2 linked regions of the Tamandua tetradactyla genome follow. The protein of the gene in region 2 purifies or fractionates together with the protein of the main gene of each other region. This does not show direct contact. Links are inferred from orthologs where the notes say so. Each region holds a gene or a part of one and is shown on either strand. Other genes may lie near its edges.

Region 1 (10,589 bases), on a different chromosome or scaffold from region 2:
TCATCTTTTGTGAAAGCTAAACTTAGTTTGATTCTTATATACTGATTTTGGTGTGTTCATCTATACCCTTCCATTTTTCTGAATTCATTTATTAACTGGTTACCTTGTGGTAGATTTTCTGGGAATTTCTATAAATATAGGATCATGCCATCTGCAAATATTTATGATTGTTACTTCTACTTGGTGGGTTGTCCTGTTTATTAATATATAGTGTCCTCCTTTGTCTCTTATAACAGCTGTTGACTTAAGTCTATTTTATCTGATATTAGTATAGCTACCCCAGCTCTTTCTTGGTTAAAATTTACTTGGCACATCTTTTTCAATCCTTTTATTTTCAACCTGTTTGTGTCTTTGGGTCTAAGGTGAGTCTCTTGTAAACAACATATAGTTGGAGCATGTTTTTTATCCATTCTGCCAACTTACGTCTCTTGATTGGGAAATTCAATTTGTTAACATTCAGTGTTACTGCTATAAAGGCAGTACTTACTTCCACCATTTTGGTTTTTACATCTTATCTTTTCTTTCTGTCTTTTCCTTTATTGCAACCTCCTTTTCTGTATAACCGATTTTTTGGTGATGTATCTGACTGACCCTTCTCATTTTGTTTCTATATATATTTTAAATACTTTCTTTGTGATTACCCTGGGGATTTTTTTACACATCCTACATCAATAATCTACCAGTTTGAAAAGATAACAGTTTTACTTCAGTAGCATACACTTTCTCTGCTCCCATACCATCTCTTTCTCCTCTTTATGTTATTTTGTGCCAATTTACCACTTTATATTTTGCACAACTGTTATCAGGAAATATACCTTTTTTTCTTCAATCGTATTCTGATCCTTATGTGAATTACAGTGTAGTTGTGTATTGAGAATTTAGTACTTCTGGGTTTTGCATTTACCCTTTTAGTTACTCTTACTGATAATCTTCATTTCCTCATAATACTCTAAGCCACTCTCTCTTGGCTTTTCCTTTCAGCCTGTGGAACTCCCTTTGGTTATTCTTGTAGTGAAAGTCCCTTTTTTACAAATTCTCTCAGTTTCTGTTTATCTGTAAGTACTTTAAATTTTCCCTCATTTTTGAAGGACAGTTTTGCCAGAAAAAGAATTTGGGGATGGTAGTTTTTCTCTTTCAGTACCATAAAATTTATCACTTCCTTCTTGCTTCCATGGTTTCTGATGAGAAATCAGTACTTCAACTTATTAAAGATCCCCCGTATGTGATGAATCACTTTTCTCTTGCTGCTTTCAGAATCCCCTCTTGATCTTTGGCATTTGACATTCTGAGTGGTGTGTGTCTCAGAGTAGGTCTATTAGGATTTATTTTATTTGGAGGATGTTTTGCTTCTTAAATATGTATATGTATGTCTTTCATATGAGTTGGGAAGTTTTTAGTCAATGTTTCCTGAAATATTCTTTCTGCCCCTTTTCCCTTTTCTTCTTTTGAAACACCCATGACATGTCTGTCTGTGTGCATCATGCTGCCACTCAAATCCCCGAGAAATGGCTCAATTTTTTTGTCTGTTATTATAATGGCATGATTTTGATTTTCCTATCTTCTAGTTCACTGATCTTTCTTCTGGTTGTTCAAATCAGCTGATGTATACCTCTACTATACTTTCAGCCTCTACTATTGTGCCTTTCATCCCATAATTTTTGTTATGTTTCGTTTTATTTTTTTGCATGGGCAGGCACTGGGTATCGAACCTGGGTCTCCAGCACAGCAGGCAAGAACTCTGCCACTGAGCCACCATCGCCCTCCCTGTTATGTTTGTTTTTGTACTTTCAGATTCTTCTTCATGTTCACACATTGTCTTCTTAATATCTTTATCTCTTTTTTGCATATTTTTCTTCATTTCCTTGAATAGATTTAGGAGATCTGTTTGAACATCTTTTATTAGTTGTTCCAACTTCTGAGTCTCCTCCAAAATTTTAATTCAGTCCCTTGACTGAGCCATATCTCCTATTTCTTAGTATGGATTGTAATTTTTTGCTGTTTTCGAGGCATCTAATTATCTTTATCAGTTAACTCTGAGGGTTTGTTTCTTCCTTTAGTCTAGGGTTTTATTTTTGATTGGTTTTGTGTTAAGGCTCTTTTTTGATGCTTGGTTTAACTTATTTTAAACCTTTAGAATAGCCTATGTTTACCTGTTCGGAGTTTCTCAGCTCTTCATCTGATTCGTTCCTTGGATATTCAGTGCAATTTTTGAGATTTCACTTTTTGTGCAATTGTTTTTCATCTTCAAAAGAGAGCTTCCTTTCCTCTATTCCTTTTCCAGGAATCTTGATCTTTTCTCTTTGCTTTTGTGCAAACTTTTTTCCCCAGGTCCTACAATTTGTTTAAATTCTCTCCCTCACTCAGGGTCCCATTTTCCTCATACTTTTCAGTTCTGGGATCTGTACGTTCTTACAACAGCTCAGTTTAAGCCACTACCTTCTCCCTGTTTGTCCTCTGTGAGACTTTCCTGCCTCTGGTTTCTTCTCTGTTAGGGTTTCCCACTCCAGGATGCCAAAGGTGGGTTACTTCAGAGAAGTCTGTTTTGCCTTTAGGTGGTTCAGCGAACTGAACTGCATTTCGTGAGGTCACAACAGCTCTTACCAGCTTTCTATGGTGGTCTCTCTCTCTTTTTTATTATGACACCCCACCCCATACACCTACCTGCCCAGGACCCTTTTGTATGCAGCCTTCCACCTGGGTCTCTGTGGACTTAGATCCCCGTGCCTGGGGTTCTAACCAACGGCTGTGAATGGGTCTACAGTCTCTGTCCGTGGTTGGAGGAAGCTGGGCCTCTGTGTGAATCCCAGGCCGTGCAGGACCAAGTGAGGGGGAGGGGAAATGAGAACCCACCGGTGGTCTGGGACAGAATTCTCCTACTTGAGATTTTTCTGTTTCTTTGATACAGCATTTGTGGAGTCATTCCCCAGTCTCCACTGTCCTTTGGAGCTCTAAGCAAGTGACTATTTCCTCTTATTTGCTAAATCTCTGGGGAGACTTTTTCAGGGGATGTCTTATGCTGCCACGTTGATGCCATTGATCTGTATAGTTCTTCACAGTCAACAACATGCATCAACGTTGGGGAACACCCAGAATTCACAGCATCCCAGGAGTGGTATAAGCCCCATGACAGAGACCTACAAGGGTACAATGACTTAGCTGAGATACTAGGACCAGATGACCAGGGACTTCAATCTCAAGTCAAGAGAGACACCAAGTCTAGCTCTTTCCATGATATCACAGAAACTGTCTTTTATTTTAATTAAGATACGAATTTAGATTTCACTTCAGAGACCAAACCTAGTCAACATTTTTAGGCATTAGTACCTATGAAGAATTTGTTCTTAAACTCCATTTGTTCTGAAAATTAGCCTCCTACTTTATAGCCTCACTTTACAGATCAGCTGTGACTTAGAGAAAAGTCCAGGATTGGGAATGAGGCAGACCTGTTCCAAGTCTGACTTAGGACTCACTGGCTGTGCCATCAGAGGCAAGTCTTTGAAATTTTCCAGTCCTCAGTTCCCTATGTGGCACTGGGCAAATATGATTAAACAATAAGTTGTTAAATAAAGGTACCTGGCCCAGACTAGGTGCCCAGGTTCTATCTCTACTACCATCATCCTAAGCCAAGCCACCTGTGCCATCTGGATCTTTGCAAGTTTTTCTTCCTTCATTCTGGACCACTCCCATCCTCCATCCTCCAGCCAGAAAGCAAAAGTGATTGTGTCACTACTATTGAAAGATCAAAAACCTATCACGTGATCTATAATACTGCTTTCCAAACTGCAGGTAATAAGCCATTGGTGGGTCAAAGAAGCAATTTTTTTTTGGCATGGGCAGGCACTGGAAATTGAACCTGGGTCTCCAGCACAGCAGATGAGAACTCTGCCAATGAGAAACAATTTTTTGGATTGCCATCAGTACTTAAAAAAGAGAGTGGAATAATGTAGACTAAAATAGAAATAACAGCTTGTAATATCAGCCATAGCATAAGTATTATTTCACAAAATTTGTTTTCTCATTGTGTGTTTTGTTAAAACATTTACAAACCCATTTCTTTTTTGTATGCTGTATGGCAAGGTCACATTTCATTCTTTTCCATGTGAGTATCCGTATTGCAGCACCACTTGTTGAATATTTTGTTTGTTTTCTTTGGGAAGTGCATGGGCCAGGAATGGAACCCGCGCGTCCCACATGGCAGGTGAGAATTTGACCACTGAACTACCCTTGGCTGTACCCTCTCTTGTAAAACATTTGAAATCTTGGTCTATACAACCCTGAATGATATGCCACCTGCCTCCTTCCTTAGACCCACCTCTCATACTCTCTTCCCAGTTTTCTGCTCTCTACCCACCCAAGCTGTCCCTAAGTTCCTCCAACATGACACATCCCCTTCTGCTGAGAGATCCCTTTGCACATGCTCCTCTTTGCCTAGTTAATGTCATCTTTCAAGCCTCAGCCCAGAAGTCACTTGTTCAGCAAACCTTCCCAGACTATATCATCTTGTCCCCTTATGGGTCCAGTTTTAAATTATTCCTTCAACAGCTTGGTTATTTAATGAAAAGCTTTCCCACTAGGCTGTATCTTCCCTCCTGCAGGGATCCTATTCTTGTTTACCACTGTAACCCAGGCCCTAACCCAGCCCAGCATGCAGGGCTCAGTTTATTGACTTACCAACTGATGGAATGAAGAAGGCATGACTCAACCAGCCTACCAAACCATATTGCTTGTTCTCCTTCCATTCTCGGTAGTGATTATGTTTGTAACGCGGTTGCTAGGTAAACCACAGTAGGCTGTATTGGGTACCTACACACAACTTTCTATAACAGGATTTCTTAACTTGGGCTGGGGCTTCTGACAAGCCCAAACTGCATCCAAATCATGAGTGAGTGGGTGGTTGTGCTTTTCCGTGGGGAGAGGGAGACTAATCCTCATTAGATTTCAGGGGGAGTCTCTGTCCGCTCCAAAGAGTCACAGCTCCATGGCTATCTCGCCAAATTTTCCTTTGCATCCCTGAGGGTCCCTAGGGCGCGTGGGCTTAGGAGGCTTCTCGGTCCTCAACCCAGGTGGTCGTTCCTTCCCTGTCCTTCTGGCTAGGCCGACCTCGCTGCGACCTTCCACTCTTGGGATCAGGCGTCCCCGCGGACTGCAGTGAAGAGGTGGTGCAGTGGCAGGGGACCTGCGTCTCTAGGCCCAAGTGCAGTCCCGGGGACATTGCCCGCATCCCCAAGCCTGGTCCCGGGCCTCTGCAGCCATCTTCAGGGACCGAGGAAGGGAGGAAGGCGCGGTCTGGAGACGCTGACCCGCCCCCGCCGCCAGGGCCGCCCCGCTGGGGCTCCGCCTAGCACTCCCCGCGCCGCGTCCGCGCTCTTACATCCCCTCCCAGCCCGTCGCGGCGGACTTGCCCGCTCCCGCCCAGCCCGCAGAGCCCGCACTGCGGCCGCTCAGCCGCCCGGCCGGCCGCTCGGAGAGGCAGCCATGGGCACCGCGCGCTGGGCAGGCTGGCTGGCACTGGGCAGCCTGCTGGCCCTGGCCCGGCAGCTAGCAGGCCGGGTCGTGGGCGAGGAGGAAGCCGGCTTCGGCGAATGTAACAAGTTCTTCTACGCCGCCACCCCGCCTGCGGGCCTGGAGGCCGAGTCCCACGTGAAGATCTGTCAGCGCTCTGAGGGCGCCGAGCGCTTCGCCACGCTCTACAGCACCCGCGACCGCATCCCGGTGTACTCGGCGTTCCGCGCGGCGCGGCCGGGGGCTGGCGGCGCCGAGCAGCGTTGGCTGGTGGAGCCGCAGGTAAGCGAGGGCGTGCCGCTGGGGGTTCCTTCCAGAAACACTTGGCAGCCACCCCGAGGGGCAGGGCTGGGAAAGGCAGCCCCCAAGTCTTTTTGGTGCCTGCGGTCGGGAAACCCGGGTTTCAGATCCACCCCGCAGCGTCCCCAGACTGGACGGCTTCCTCTCCCCCTGTCAAAGCCAGAGCAGAGTTTGGCTTTTTGCGAGGCTTTGCTTAAGTAGCAAGGGCGGGAGGTCCCAGTGGGAGGTGGTCCTCCCTACATTTTTGCGCAGCCATCTGCAGCGGCTCTTTCGTTTCCTGAATGGTGAAGAGCGTGAGACAAATCCAGGAGACGAATCCCTGCGCAGGGAGCCTCGGCTGGGCGCTTATAGGCCTTGGCGCAGGCTATTGCTACGACTTTTATGGGGGGGGGGGGGGGTGCGGTGCGGTGCATTTTCATCTCGAGTTTACAGTAGAAGAGATCAAGGTTCAGGGGGGTGAAGAGACTTGCGGCAGACCACCCAGCCAGAAGCTGGGGCAGATCTTTTGGCTACAAGTTCACCGCCCTTTCTACCAGGAAATAACTTCCGTTCTGCAGAATCTTTCCTCGAGTGAAAATCCTTCTCTTCTACACACGACCTCGAGTAAATGCTATTTTAAGTTTTCTTCTGAGTTAGGACTATAAAATAACAGATTTTTAAAGATGCAATGGAACTGTTATAATTAATTGGGAAACACTGACTATTTCCATTTGGTGGGAGGGACAAATCAGTTTTCCCTAATTCTCCCTATATATATTATCAGACCACTTGGAAATCATGACCCTATGGTCTGATGATGGTGACCTACAAGAGGCCCCCAGAGGCCCTGCTGAACCTGCCTCTCTGCCATACCTCTGCTCCTTGGTCCCCCTTTCTAGATCATCCAGCCAGGGTCCCCTTTGGTAGGTTTGGCTGCTCACTGGGCCACCCAGCCTTGCTCCTCCCTCCAAGACCGCCCTAGCTGGGGGAGAAGCCAACACCCCAGCCCTGCCCATTCCTGATGGCCACAGCTGCCCAGGACCACATTGGTGACCAGGAGACTGTCCTCCCTGTACTTTACTCAAAAAGACTTGGGTGGTAAGCCCATTCAGATGTTTCTAGCTCTGAGATCTTGACCAGGTCTCAAGCAATCTGTGCTTTTGCTACCTCCATTCTGCTTTCCTCACTGTTGATGTCAGGGATCTATGCCATCAGGCATGTGAAACAGCCTTTGTAAATTATACACATTTAAGTGGTATTCTAATCTAAAATTAGTTTGCTCTCTAACTGCACCCCTGGAGCTCTCACCGTATTCCCCAGGTTCTTATTATGCTTTGTGACTATGGGGTTGTGAAAAAAATAAATGACCTGATCCTTTCTCCTTAAGGAGCTCGTGGTCTCTTTGGGGAGACAGAACATACACAGGAGAACGACATGGGGCATGCTAAACAAATTTCACTTAAATTCAGAGCACGTTTAGTAATTGCCTATCATGTGTTAGGTATACTTGAGATTACCTCAGAGTGTAGCTGGAGAAAGTCAGGGCCTCCGGGCAGCCATTGGAGCTTTCTGGATGGAGCATTGACACAGCATCTGGTCAGCGAGGCTGCCTGGGTTTAAATCCTGGTTCCTCCATTTGAGATGGTTAACTTGGAGATAGTAGCAGCATCTACATCATAGGGCGTTGTCAACATTAAATACCTGATTATGTGTTAAATTCTCAAAGATGTGCTGTCACCCAAGTACTAGCTGCTATTATGATATAAGCAGGAAAAAACCTCTATAATTTAATAGTTGTTAACAAATTCCAATGAGATTTAATCCATCTTTTAGGTGAGAGGGGAAAGCCTTAAGGTCAAGATGACATTGGCGCTGTGCCTGGAGGGATGAGGCTAAATTCAGCAGGGAGAAAAGAAGGAAGAGGTCATTTCAAGTAGAAGGGACATCATGAGTAAGAAATGTATGGCAGTTTCAGGGATTCGTGTGTGGGGACTGGTTGGAGCAGCTAAACTAATACAAGTGAAAGATTACACTCTATTCAAGTGTATGGAATAAAGAGGAATAGTGGAAGGAAAGGGTCAGGTAGGAAGTTCTCGAGGGAGGCTTAGGGAGGCAGGAGCCATTTATGCAGGTACTGAAGGACTCATAGAAGCCTGATTTGCCAAAGGAGTAGATGCATCCAAGTCACATAGACAGTGGAGGTGTGGGGTCCCGGGTTAGGGTAATGAGAAATGGCGCTGGGGAGAAAAAAGAGTGAAGATGTACAGCAGTTCTGAAAATTCCAGGAGGCCAGAGTTCTCAGCCAGCAAGGTCAGAATGATCAAGAGTGGCTGAGCACAGCATGATGCTTCTGCCTGCAGGATGTGTTTGCTGCCCCCAAACTCAGGTCAAGTCAGTCAGGAATGAGAGGTCATTAGGAGGGGGGGAGGGAAGGAAAGAAGGGAGGTGTTGCTACCAGAGTCCAGAAGGCTTCAGCACCCACTGCAGCAAACCTATCTGCTCCTTGAGGCTGCCTCAGAGCCAAGATCCCCACTGCAGAGAGATACTCTGGGCTCACTGTGTACTTTTGGCTGCTTTGCAGCAGTTTGCAATGCTAGTTGCTTTGTGCCCACTTCACCTTTTTATGAGGTCAGCATCACCAAGAGGCCCGGCAGACAGGGGAGGAGGAGAGAGGAGACTTCAGGAGGCTATATGCAACCAGACCCGGCTGGACTGGCTCACACTCCCAACGCCCAGTTCAACTGCTTTCATGACTGTCCTGTAATTTCTCTTTGAAAAAAAAAAGCTCTTAAAGATCATAGAAAGTTAGTCACTCTCATGCTTAAAGCCTTTAAGGTGTTGGCTGCCCGACACCTACCAGACAAAGTTCAGACTATACAATGTAGTTAGCAAGGCCCTCTATGATCTGGGTCCTGTCTCCAGCTCCAGTCTTGTTTCTCACTCCTCACTGTCACATTTATGTTCTAGCTGCCTTGGGAACCTCTCATAAACTATGCTGCTTGTTGTGTCTGTTTCTTTGTTCTTGCTGATTCCCTTTGCTTCAAATGCTCCTTCTATACTGCCTCTGTGTTTTCTTTCCCGTGCTCCATCCTTTAAGGCTCTGCTAAGACAACACCTCCAGAAAGAATTTCCTACCAGGCTTATGTCCACCTCTTGTTTTAAGTTCTGTGCCCCTATGGTTTCACTCTTCTGTGCCCCTATAGTTTCTCTATCTCTGTGCTTACCCCACTGTTTCATAATTACCTGCTTATGTATGTGTCCTCCCACCTTGAGCCCTTGCGGTTGACGAATACGTCTCATTCATTCTTGTGTTCCTGGCGTCTTGCACATGGAAAGTACATGTTGGATGCAGTAATTTGATTGTAGGAGGATAAGTCAGGTAGCAGGGGGTGAGATGTTCTGCTTGAGCTTTCTCTGTGGGGAGCTTCCAGCTTTAGAAACTTCCCCCATAGCTGGCCATCAGCCATGGATACAAACATGTTCCATAAGCAGAACTGGAACCTTCTGTAAGTTCACCCCTTAATACCTTTATTAAGATATTGCCTTAATAGGTGCTAGGCATACACAAAGCCAAATGATTTGCATCTCCACTGCATAATGGCTCTCCAGTGTTGTATGCCAGATTCCACGCCTGCCCACGTTGGAGGAATTTAAATAGGACCTTTTGAGGGACCAAATGGGTAATTTAAAAGAGGGAGAGAAAACAGAGGGCTGTGTGGGTTTTATGTGGGATGTATGTGGTCACCTTTAAAGTGAAAATGGGGAGAAGGCAAGGAAGAGATGAGAAAACGATTCCCCATCTAATGTGATGGAGGAGGTTTGGAAGATTCTAGTCAAGACTCTGGAGTCCTGAGAACCAGGCTCTGATTTAGTGCAGGGAGTATCATACCTTTCAGTATCTCAACTCATTTCCATTTAATGTAAGAATTATTGGATGAGGGACCCATGATGGCCTTCCAAAGTGAATTGTCAATTCATGTGAGACGTTAACATATAAGAACCTCTCATTTTATAAATATGAACACTGGAAGGAATGGCCTTATAGGCAGTTAAGAGCGTACATTTACTTAATTTTACCAAACTAAATATCACTCTTTTCATTTTAGAGATATGGCTCCAAGAGATTAATTGATGTGCCTAAGGTCACAGTTTAAACTTGAACTCATGACTAATTGCTCCTAGTCCAGTGCTCTTTCATACAGCATGGAGATTCTTTGACCTCACAGGGGAGTCCACTACATTAATGGTTTTAGGACTTTAGTTCTCTTATTTTATATGGAATTTCTACTCTGATTTCTGTTTCTTGACAATTGTAGGATAAGTAGTAGCGCATATTTGGCCGTGCAAATATAGCTCAGGGTGTCAGTAGCTCCCGTGTGAAGGGGATTTTCTATTTGAGAGCAAAAGCATTTTCCTAGAGGGCCCAATGAGGTCATAATTCACATCTTAGCAAGTGACACATGAACAGTTGTCACAAGTTAGACTTTTAAGTCCTTGATCTTTAATTTCCATCAGTAGCTTACATATCCTGAGACAATCAGAAACATTGTTTTGTTCATTCTAATATCTTTCATTGTGTCAGAGAATAGATATATGAACATATCATACACTTCTATCTCTATGTAAGGGATGCACCAAACAGGACTCTTATCTCCTAGTTAAGAGGCTTGGGTTTAGAGCCCTGTTCTTCATTTGCCGACTGTGTGACCTTACTTCTTCTAGCCTTATTTTTCTGATCTGTTTATTAGAGGTAATAATAATGTTTACTTCATAGGGTGGTTGTGTCAAATAAACAAGATAAATGCGTG
Region 2 (10,589 bases):
GGGAACATCTCACGGGTCTAGCTGTCTCGTTCCTCTCACCATGTCCCTAGCCTAGGCCTCAGCACCTCCTGCCCAGACCATCCCAACACAGCAGCCTGTTTAACAGGTTTGGGCCCCAGTGTCTCTTTGGGGATGAATTTTCCTAACACAGCTGCATCCATGTGGATATGAACTGACTCCCCAGCTGCATAACCCACTCACTGCTCTCCACATAACTCCTCTCCGAAGGTCACACTGGCCTAAAACTGGGGCCCTGAGCACTCCCCCTAAGAGTTGTCATCAGCTCTTGCTCAGAAAGTCCCCCCATAAAAGGCCTTCCTCTCTTCTTTCTGTCCACCCTTTTGTGCTCAGCCCAATCCTCACTCATCGGTCTGAATTCTCTGGTTTTCTCTGGTCTTGCCTTTCTCCCTGTCCCCAGTATGTGCTACATGGATGACTCATCTGCACTCACATACTTGGGTGTTATCTTTCATTGAGCTCCCCATTTGATGAGCACCAAAGAGGGACTTGATGGAATTTGATTATCTCATTCAATTGTTATGCAAATGAGCCCAAAGAGATTAGCAACTCTTTCAAAGTCCTCCAGTAGGTGAGTGACAGTTTTACGCAGGTCAGGTTGACCTGCCAAAGAGGTGGGTGCCTCCATCCAGGAGGCACTGGGACCCTGCTGGGGGAAAGAGGGTGAAGGCGGGGGAAGGGGGTATCAAGCTATGACATAAACAGAACTCTTCCTGGAGCATTGATTTTTATTTAGAGGGAGTGTTAAATATTTAACTGTATGTTTGGGATATGATATTTATGTGGAGGAAGCTGATCTGGAGCAGGGCTTCTCAACCTTGGCATTTGGGACCAGATAATTCTTTGCTGGGGTGGAGGAGGGTGTGGTTGTCCTGAGCATTGTAGGATGTTGAGCCACACACATGGTCTCTGCCTCACTAAAGGCCAAGAGCACAATCCCCCCTCCTGGTTGTGACAACCAAAAATGGCTGCAGATATTGCCAATCACTGGTCTAGAGATCTGAGAGACTGGACTGTAGGCCCCAAATGCCAGATTCAAATCCAAGCCCTGCCATTTGTTGCATGACCCTGGGCTAGCTCCTTGGACTCTCTGTACCTCAGTTTCCCTAAATGTAAAATAAGAATAATAACAATACCTGCAAAGGATTGTGGTGAGGAGAAACGTGTTATGTTTTGAAAGTTCTCGGAATGCTGGCACAAGATAACCCTCATGTGATTACCATTTATCTTCAAAAATAGCATGAATATATTATAGTATAGAGTGCAAACTTTATATGAATTAAAAAAGTTAACAGAACAAACTTTTTGGTGCTTGCCATATGCCATTTTGAGCTACCCACAGATGTCCAGAGGCCCATAGACAGGCTCTTCTGCTCTTGGGAGCACTTTGATGGGAAAATTTGAAAAATACTGTGATCTTTTACCAGCTCTTTTCTTATAATCTTCATTAACTGTATGATGGTTTTCATATCCCTTACAGTGACATCTGTTATGTGTTTTCTTACAGTGTCTAGTACACTGTATGTAGTAGATACTTTTTTAATGGAGGAATCAACCCGTGGGGTTCACTGAAGAAATGCACTGGATTTCATGTTCATTGTGATGTGTAAACAGCTCAAGGCTCAATCTTACTGATAGGTGGCTTCCCTAATCATCAGATGCAAGTAGGGTTGACCAATATATGTTGGATGGAGCAATTGTCGTGAGGACGTGCAACCTGGACATTGCAGCAGCCCCACTTGGGAAACTCTTCTCGGTACAGTATGGAAAGCTTAAGAAGGATTATTTGCCTAAATTAAATCTTGTCTTCCTGATTTCTATCAAAATAATTTCAAGGAACAAGCAACTCTCTAGTGGATACAAAAGCAGATGCTATTATGGTCCAATGTTTTATAAGGAGCAAAAGCCTTAGAGCTAAGAGAATTCAGATACCCCTTGCATCAAACTGTTCAGAAATGAATAGGATGCACTGGCAAAGGACCCAACATGCCAAAATGTCAGGAATACTTCCTCTGAGGTCCGTGCTGGCTTCATCCACTAACACTTATTCACTTAATATTGGTCAGCATCACTAGAAAAACAAGGGAAATTTCTATCAACTGTGTGCTCCTCCTTCCTAAAAGCCTTGATTTCCCTCTTCGAAGTGCCATCATTTTTCACAATCCTGTTTCCTCTTGACTAACACTTCCTCAATGAAACAGTTATTTCCCCTCACTTAGCAGTCGATTTTCTCATACATTCATTGACTCCACCATTATTTCTCGAGTGCAAGACCTTGAAGAGACAGAATACCACATGCCCCGGCAGCAGCCCTCATGCAACAGGTAGCCGAGACAGTCAACCGACTGAACAGCCCAGGGCTCTTTGAAACTGTGGTCTGCCCCTCCTCACCCTCTCCACCCCCAAGCTTGAGTTGCTCCTCCTGGGAGGTGGAAAGCAAGAGAAAGGTAGGGTACCTGGAAACTCAGAAGCAGGAAGGAGAGAAGACACTGGCAGCTGCCCCTTGGCATGGGTGCACAGGCTCCATTCACTAGCCCTTCTGGCCAGGAAAGCCCCAGCTCTCTGTACAGGCCTGGGTAGGGCAGGACCTGGGAGCCAACTCCCCAGGGTCAGCCCCATGACATGGCACCATTCAGGGGATCCTCCCAGCCTCAGGGGTTGCCACTTTTGCTGATATCCTAGAGCTAGCACATGGCACTAAGTGAGAGTAGACCAGGGCCAGCTCTGCAGATGCACTGTGTGCCCCTGAGATGAAATGCTAAACCTCTCTGAGCTGCCAGTTTCATAATCTCAAAAATGGGGACAACCTGGTCTCCCTCAGAACTGTTGGGAGGATTAATTAATGTGCATAGGTGAAGCCTTTAGCACTGTGCCTGGCACAAAGTAAACATCAGAACTTTGTGAAATGAATGAACTGCATCATGAACGCTATGAAGTTTTGCCTTAGTGCCAGTCCCTAGGTAAATATCTTTGCAACACATGAACACAAAGCACCTGAGAGAAAGGAGCTAATGTTTGCTTTATGACAGGGGAGTGCCCTATACAGTTTTTGTGACCTCGTTAATTCTCATAACAAGGAAGGGGTTCTTCTATCCAGTTTACAGGTAAAGAAACCAAAGCATAAGAAACTCAATTCAAATCCCACACCTAACTAGGGGTGGAATCAGGATTTGAACACAGGATTGCTGGAGCTAAGACAGAAAGAAGAGGAATCCTAACCCCTTTCAAAGTACCAGAGTGCTCAGGGGCTTCAAGTTCAGGCTCAGTGAGGGTTTAGGGTGTTGAGGAGAAAGCAGGCTGGGCTGGTGTGTCTGCAGGACTCAGCCCTGCCTGCTCATTCAGATGACTAGAAATGTCAGCCAGGAATGCCATAATGACGGGCTGTTGAGCAGGGGAGGCAGTACCAAATGGGCCGGACAGAGGATGTAGCGCAATTCTGAGGTCATCCTTTCCAGGGATGTGGCAGACACAGGCCTGAACTGGACCTGCCTTTCCCAGGAAGGGGGCTCTGAATACCGACAAGGGGTCCCTGGAGCCTTTGAACTCTCCAAAGGCTTTCTCCCTTCCCAGACCCCCAGCCCAGCTGTTGTCCTGCTATTCCCTTTCCTCGCCCTTCCCAAGGCCACACTCCAGCTTGCTGCCTGCCCAGTAGCAGAGAAAAGTTAAGGAAAGACACACACAATTTTCTTGGCAATTTGGTAATAATACCTGTGTCTTCAATGCCTGCCCAGGAAAGAGGTTGGTGGCTCTCATGAGGCCTCCAGGTTTCAGAGGGATCACTCATCCATCTGTGCCCTTGCTTCCTACCAACGGTCCCGACAATCGAGCTGGCTGTGCTGCTGACCTCCAACTTCCTACAGCCACCTGAGTACCCAATGCCGAGAGGAACTCGGCACTCATTCTCTCTGGCAGGCCAAAGAGAGGAAAGTTCTTGGCTCCTGTACCTAAGCTGCTGGCTGCTCAAGCAACATTGTTTGAGCCTCTCCAACCAGGACCTGGCCTGGGGCAGCCTGTGCTGGCAATGGCATGGTGGGAGAGAAGAGGGGCGAGGTGGTGGCAGTATGGGGGCCAGTGGGCCTGCAGGGAGATCCAGACCCAGGAGCTGGCCTCCACAAGGGCAGGGAGGTCGAACACTGTGTCCCCAACACAGTGCCTGGCATATAGCGGCCAGCCAATAAAAGTTAATTGCACACTTATTTTGTGCCAGGTACTGATCTAAGCCCTTTACGCAGATTAACTGATTTAATCCCCTAAGTACTTTGTGAGGGAGAACCAACATTGTCCCCATTTTACAGGAGGAAAATGAGACAAGAAACGTTGATTGCTTCAAGTCACACAGCTACTACGCCCTCAGAGGTCGTTCAAACCCAGGTGGTCTGACTCCAAGGGCCATGCCATTTGTAAACTCAAGAAACGCTTTCCTGTGCTTTGAAAGACTTCAAAATTCCCAAGAGGGTTATGGCTACTTTTCTTCAGCTTCCTTTAACTATCACAAGGAAAAATAATCCCCATGTACACAGGGATCATGGGAGCGGGGATGCTATAAGCAGAGCACACGAGGAAACAATTGACCTGGACATCACTGAAGAATGGCTTAGTTTAGACTTCTGATGAGAGGCACTAATAGGATATTTAAAAAGACATTTATCATATCACCTTGAACTTGGGCCCCTTTGCCGAACGCTCATAGCATTTACATTTAAATAATCAACCCTGCCTTAGCCTGCAACTATCAGTTATTTGTTATCATATTATGGGGCTAAAGGGTTAATTTGTAAATGTGAACATTCAAAACATCTTATAATTTTTTTGCAACCCTCTTTTTGCATTTCTTATCACTTCTGCAATCACCTAGACCCTGTTCTCATATCAAGGGGGAACTGTTTCAATGAGATAGTTGAGTGATTTTCAGGGTGGGCGTGGGGGGACAATTTGTTTAGCATCCAAACCTTTTTACAAAGCATGCCAGTCTTGCTGCCAGTTCCCAAAGTTACAAAAATAGAGACAAGATCATTATCAGCTGGTTGGCTGGCACCAGGAAACAATGACTGCTACTAGTAGGCAGAACTCTTCCAGGTACACCCCTCACAGAACAGGTTCAAGAGTGTGTCACAGGGAAAAGGAAAAGCAGAAAAGAGAAGAAAAAGGAGGCCTGGAGCAAGCCCTGCGGACACAGAAAACTCTTGGTGAGTCTGTACAGGAAGGGAGGGGGCTTCGGAGAAAGGCACTCCACAGGCTGCCGCCACAAGCTTAACAAGCTGGAGGAAAGCTGCCCCCCTTTACCCAGGAAAACAAGAGCTTCAAACTCTCAACTCAGCGCCAGCTATTCCTGACAGGGATCTGTCCTGGTAGTCTGTAGGATGAGTTAATTCCATATAAACCTTTCTCCCTATCTCCGGCCTGAGTAGGCACCCACCCACCCAATCCGACCACACCGGGCACCTTTCCCTGCAAGCCGCTTCCCATTTCCCTTGGCCACTCTTTTTCTCCCAAGATAGCGGAAAGCCATACCCATGGCACATGAGAATAGCAAAAAGCCAGACTGTCCCTCACAGTGAGCTCAGGTAAATAACCGCAAACAAGCATCATGGCTCTGGAAGCCATCCTGGGGTGGTGGGGTCGACCCTGGAAAGATGGCCCCTTTCCTCTTCTTGTAAAGACAGGAAAGCTTAGGCTGGGGGGCTTGCTGGGACCCTGGGATCTATCTGCCTTTATGACCCAGCCAAAAAGAAAGCTCCCCCTCTTCCCAATTCCATTACACCATCCTCCTTCCCCAAACCATGATTCTCAAACCATCTGTAATTCTAGAATCCCCAAGCGTGGCTGATTACTAGCACTATTACTACAAGCAGTACTTGCAGTAATAGTGCAGTAACAGAAGTAATAATCTCAGCAACAGCAGTAACATGAAGAAGAAAAAGAAAATTTGAAAAACTTGGAAAGGTTTTTTATTTTCTCTTCTGCTGTTCAAAGTCAGGTTCCTTGAGGTCTTCATCGAAGGAGCTATCTAAAAGAATTTGAGTCACTTAAGGCAGTTTAAAGAGAAGGAGGCCCCCTTGCCCCGGCGGCGGCGGTACTCACCAGCGCTCCCTACGCAGGTAAAGGGCTGAAGGAGGCACCCAGGTAGAGCGCGGCGCCCCGGGTATATATAGCCAAGGTGTTGCGCAAAGGGGCCGGCAGCTGCTGTCATCACGTCCCTCGCACATTCCAGGACGGCCCGCCGCCGCCGGGGAACTGCCTACCTGCCGGCGTGACAAGCCCATCGGGACCTCGCCCGCTGCGCTGAGGCCGGGCAGGCGGCCGGGACCGCGGAGAGAAGCCGCGCACGGTCCCCCGCCGCCGCCGAACGGCAGCGAACGTCCCTGCGCGCCCCGTCGGCGCCCCGCGCGCCCTGGCCCCCTGCTGGCGCGCGCCCTCGCCGCCACCCAGCCCCAGCAGACACGGGGCGCTAGTTGGACGCGCTATCCTCTGCCTTCTCCTTCCTCTAAGAACTAGTTCTTCGGAGGCTGAAGAGTCCGGGGAGGTTGAGATATTGAGATACAGAGAGAATACACCTGGAAACAAGGCGAGCATTTGTTAGGTCTTATCACTGTTTGGAGGAGTCTTCTGCCCTGGGAGCCTGACTTGGAGCCTGGAGTTAAGAGACCCGTACTACTGGGAAAGGCCTGGTCTGGCGGGGCTGAGCAAGGGGAGAGTCGGCTCGCCCTGAGAACTCCCTCCGCGGGCCTAGGGCTCTTATTTCACCGCCCTGTGTGTGTGTCCTGAGTCTCCACACATAACCTTTCTCCATCCAAGCCCTTCTCCACATTAGCAACAGCCATCCAGTTGTGTGCTGGGGAAGTCACCCGTACACACACAAAAGCTTCCCCTGGGGCTTAGATTAGTTCCCTTTTGCAGCTGAGGTTAGGGAGGGTTGGGAGCATGACACAGGATAACAGGATTTAGCTGAGCTGGAATCAGACCTGGGTCCAACTCCAAAAGCTCTGGGCCTTCCCTCACCATTCCATACTGTTTTTATACTGGAGTCAGTGGGGCCTAGAGAGTTTCCTAGTTGCCCTGCTGTTCACAGCTACTAGGTGGAAATCCCCACTGGAACTCGGTTGAATTTCGTTGCAAAGTTAGGAGTCCCTGTGTAGGGAGAAGAAATTAGGAGAGCTGTTTCTAGGAACCTGCAGAGCCTGGCTCTTTCTCAAGCTGAGAGGTCAATGGTGAAAGCGCACTGACTCTTGTCAACGTGTCTGAATCAATTCCTGTCCTGCCCCCTTGCATTCCCTGCCTCTGTTTGCTGGTGTGCAAAATGGGAATAATGGTTTCTATAGGCTAGAGGAAAATGGGCTAAAATACCTGAAGTGCACAGAGCAGTAGCAGGCATGTAGCTTAATGGGGAGCACGGGTTGGGAGAAACTGGGTGGAAGGATTTGATAAGACTCATCAGGAACCTTGAGAGTATGTGTTCTACACAACACTCTCTGGAACCTGGGTCCAGACCCAAGGGCCCGTGGACGTATGAGCTTGGCGAGTGGGCACTGGAATCAAGTCGGTCTTGGCTGCTCATAGCAGAAGGATGATGATTTGCCAGTGGGTGCTGGACTTAAAAGCCAACCTTGGGAGACCTTTCCACTGAGTGAATTCTAAAGCAGAGTCTACAGATGGCATGGTGACAGGAATCCACCAGCATGTGTTTGTCAAGCTCAGCTTTGTCTCCAGCCCCGGGCACAGACATGACATGGGGCTCATGGGGCGCAGGACTTAATTGGACATTTATCCTGACAAGCGTCCCACAGTGAATGAGGACTTTGATGTAGGGCACGGATCTAATCTCATTCACATCGCCTTTATGTCAGTCCAACAAGGAACTAATGTAGAGAGACTTCAATTTCAAAAGCTTGTAAAGAAAAAAAGACGGTTTCCCTTTTATGTTCCAATTGGAAAGACAAAATACGGATTTGGTCCAGGTGGCTTTTCTTTTTCTATTTTTAAAGGTATATTGATCTCAGGATAGATCAGGGATGGTATCTGTTTGATTCTTGATTATAGTTTTTGGTACTACTTTTTGTACAAAGCACGTGTGTGCACATGTGGGTCTCCAATCTTTCCTTTTAGGGGAGAATAGTTTGCTGAAGGATACTTTCCTATCTTTTTTCCATCTCAGATATGAAATGCTCCTACCATTTAGTACCCAGAGAGCCTATATGTTTACATCATGCTTGTAAAGTACTTTCACATGCATCGTTTCATTTTTTTACAACTCACTTTAGTGCAGTGTTTTGTGCCAACTGTTGTCCTTGCTATAATGTGGAGTTGATTGAACTAAGTGGTATCAATAATGTAGAAATTGCAGCCTACCCAGAGGCCATGAGACTGTTGCCCAAGGTTACAAAGCAATGAGCAAATACAGGCCCACAATCCCTTAGTGAACCCCTGGGGCTAAAGGTGTTTCAGAATTTAGAATTTTTCATTTTTAGAAAGTAAAATTCAGATGCTGTCTATTAAGTAACATCCCAGTGTGGCCCAGATAGCACCCTGCAATCAAACCCATTGTCATTTTTACTCCAAAAATGTGTAATTATTGATACTAAGTTCGATATATAAATAAGATTGATATATAAACAATGCCATGTCAATTCAAATGCGTTTCTAAATTGCAGATTAAAGATTGTGAGCCATAGTATTGAATGTTTAAGATGTGCAGACACTGCTCTAAGCACTTTACTTACATTAAACCTTTTAATCCTTATATTAAATTACCACTATGAACTAAGCAAGAAAACGGTAGCCAAGAGAAGTTAGATAATTCAACCCCAAGGTCACAGGATTAATAGGTAGCAGAGTAAGATCTGAACCCAGGTGGTATTACTTAATCATAATCAGTAAAGCTTTCTTCACAGAGATATTTGGTTGCTGAAAGGACTGAAGGTGAGTGGAATGGGATAAGATAGAGAATCCAGAAACATGTGGACACTTGATTTACAACAGAAATATCACTGCAGAGCAGTAAGGTAAAGATAATCTTAGCAGTAATGGACATCCCAGTGGGAACAAAAACTTGATTCATACTGTACACAAAATCTATTTTAGGAAGAGCTGATTTTATCTAAATATAAAAGGCAAAACTATAAAACTTGAAGACAATATAGGCAAATAATTTCATAAACTCAGGGTAGGGGAAAGACTTCTTAGACAAATAGGATACAAAAAGCATTAACCATACAGAAGATGTACAGAAGATGTGGGGACCCAGATCCACCCCTGCACACCCATTAGCCGCCTCCATGACCTGGGACCAAAGTCACCTACTTGATCTGGGAGCAAAGTCATCAGAACCTTCCCCCCACCCCGCCCCGGGGAGGGGGGTGGGACATACAGTGTTATGGTAAACAAAGCATTAAAACTCCCCTCCCATAAGAACGAAGGAATGTCATTGCTGCAGGGTGTAGAAAATAGATGGTAATTAATATTTTAAAATTTAACTTATTTATGAAACTAAAACAAAAACGTTTATTTGGTACAAAATTTATATTTGACTAGTGAAGTCCCTAATAAAATTTATGTGGACAGCGTAATTGAACACCCTAAGTACATGGAACCTTGAGTAGGGCATAAGATTTTGTAGGTTTGTCCAGAGTGATGCCACAATAAATCCCAGAGTGATTTGAACAGTGAGTAAAAAAGTATTTGCAAAGTCCCCTTCGGGGAATGGTGAGAAAGGGGGAAATTTCAACTTCCCCAAGTGGAGAATTCTGGATATTCTCACAGGCAGTGGGCACAACCAAAGCCATAGGCTGAGCCCCCAATCTTGGGGTTTGTTTATATGAAAATTAATCCCACAAAGGATAGGTCAAGCCTACTTAAAATTAGGCCTAAGAGTCACCCCCAAAAGAACCTCTTTTGTTGTTCATATGTGTCATATCTCTACAGCCAACACAACAAGCTAACTCACTACCCTCCCCCTGTCTACGTGGGACATGACTCCTAGAGGTGTGGACCTTCATGGCAACATGGGACATAAATCCTACAATGAGCTGGGACTCGGCACCAAGGGATTGAGAAAAACTTCTTGATCAAAAAGGGGAAGAGAGAAATGAGACAAAATAAAGAGTCAATGGCTGAGAGATTCCAGAGTCGAGAGGTTATCTTGGAGGTTATTCTTACACATTAAATAGATATCACCTTGTTAGTCAAGGTGTAATGGAGAGGCTGGAGGGAAGTACCTGAAAATGTAGAGCTGTGTTCCAGTAGCCATGTTTCTTGAAGATGATGGTATAATGATATAGCTTTCGCAATGTGAACTGTGTGATTGTGAAAACCTTGTGTCTGATGCTCCTTTTATCTACCTTATGAGCAGACGAGTAAAACATATGGAATAAAAACAAATATAGGGGGAACAAATGTTAAAATAAATTTAGTAGATTGAAATGCTAGTGATCGATGAAAGGGAGGGGTAAGGGGTATGGAATGTATGAACTGTTGCAAATGTTCTAAGAAATGATCATGGTGAATATGCAACTATGTGATGATATTATAAATTACTGATTATATATATAGAACAGAATGATATGTTAAGAATGTTT

Evidence for each region.
Region 1: the proteins of SLC34A2 (region 2) and ENDOD1 purify together in Homo sapiens (co-immunoprecipitation; 3 studies listed by BioGRID and IntAct, counting the BioPlex papers as one, with this or other methods). This does not show direct contact. The link is inferred for Tamandua tetradactyla from reciprocal best matches to the Homo sapiens genes SLC34A2 and ENDOD1.

What each region holds. Positions count from the first base shown.
Region 1 is NC_135334.1:47,906,635-47,917,223, reverse strand, and holds the start of ENDOD1 (endonuclease domain-containing 1 protein), read left to right. Parts: upstream 1-5,395; 5' UTR 5,396-5,475; coding exon 5,476-5,784; intron 5,785-7,298; exon of another isoform or gene 7,299-7,450; intron 7,451-8,236; exon of another isoform or gene 8,237-8,386; intron 8,387-10,589. UniProt on the Homo sapiens protein: May act as a DNase and a RNase. Plays a role in the modulation of innate immune signaling through the cGAS-STING pathway by interacting with RNF26.
Region 2 is NC_135345.1:25,878,294-25,888,882, reverse strand, and holds the start of SLC34A2 (sodium-dependent phosphate transport protein 2B), read right to left. Parts: upstream 6,332-10,589; 5' UTR 6,100-6,331; intron 1-6,099. UniProt on the Homo sapiens protein: Involved in actively transporting phosphate into cells via Na(+) cotransport.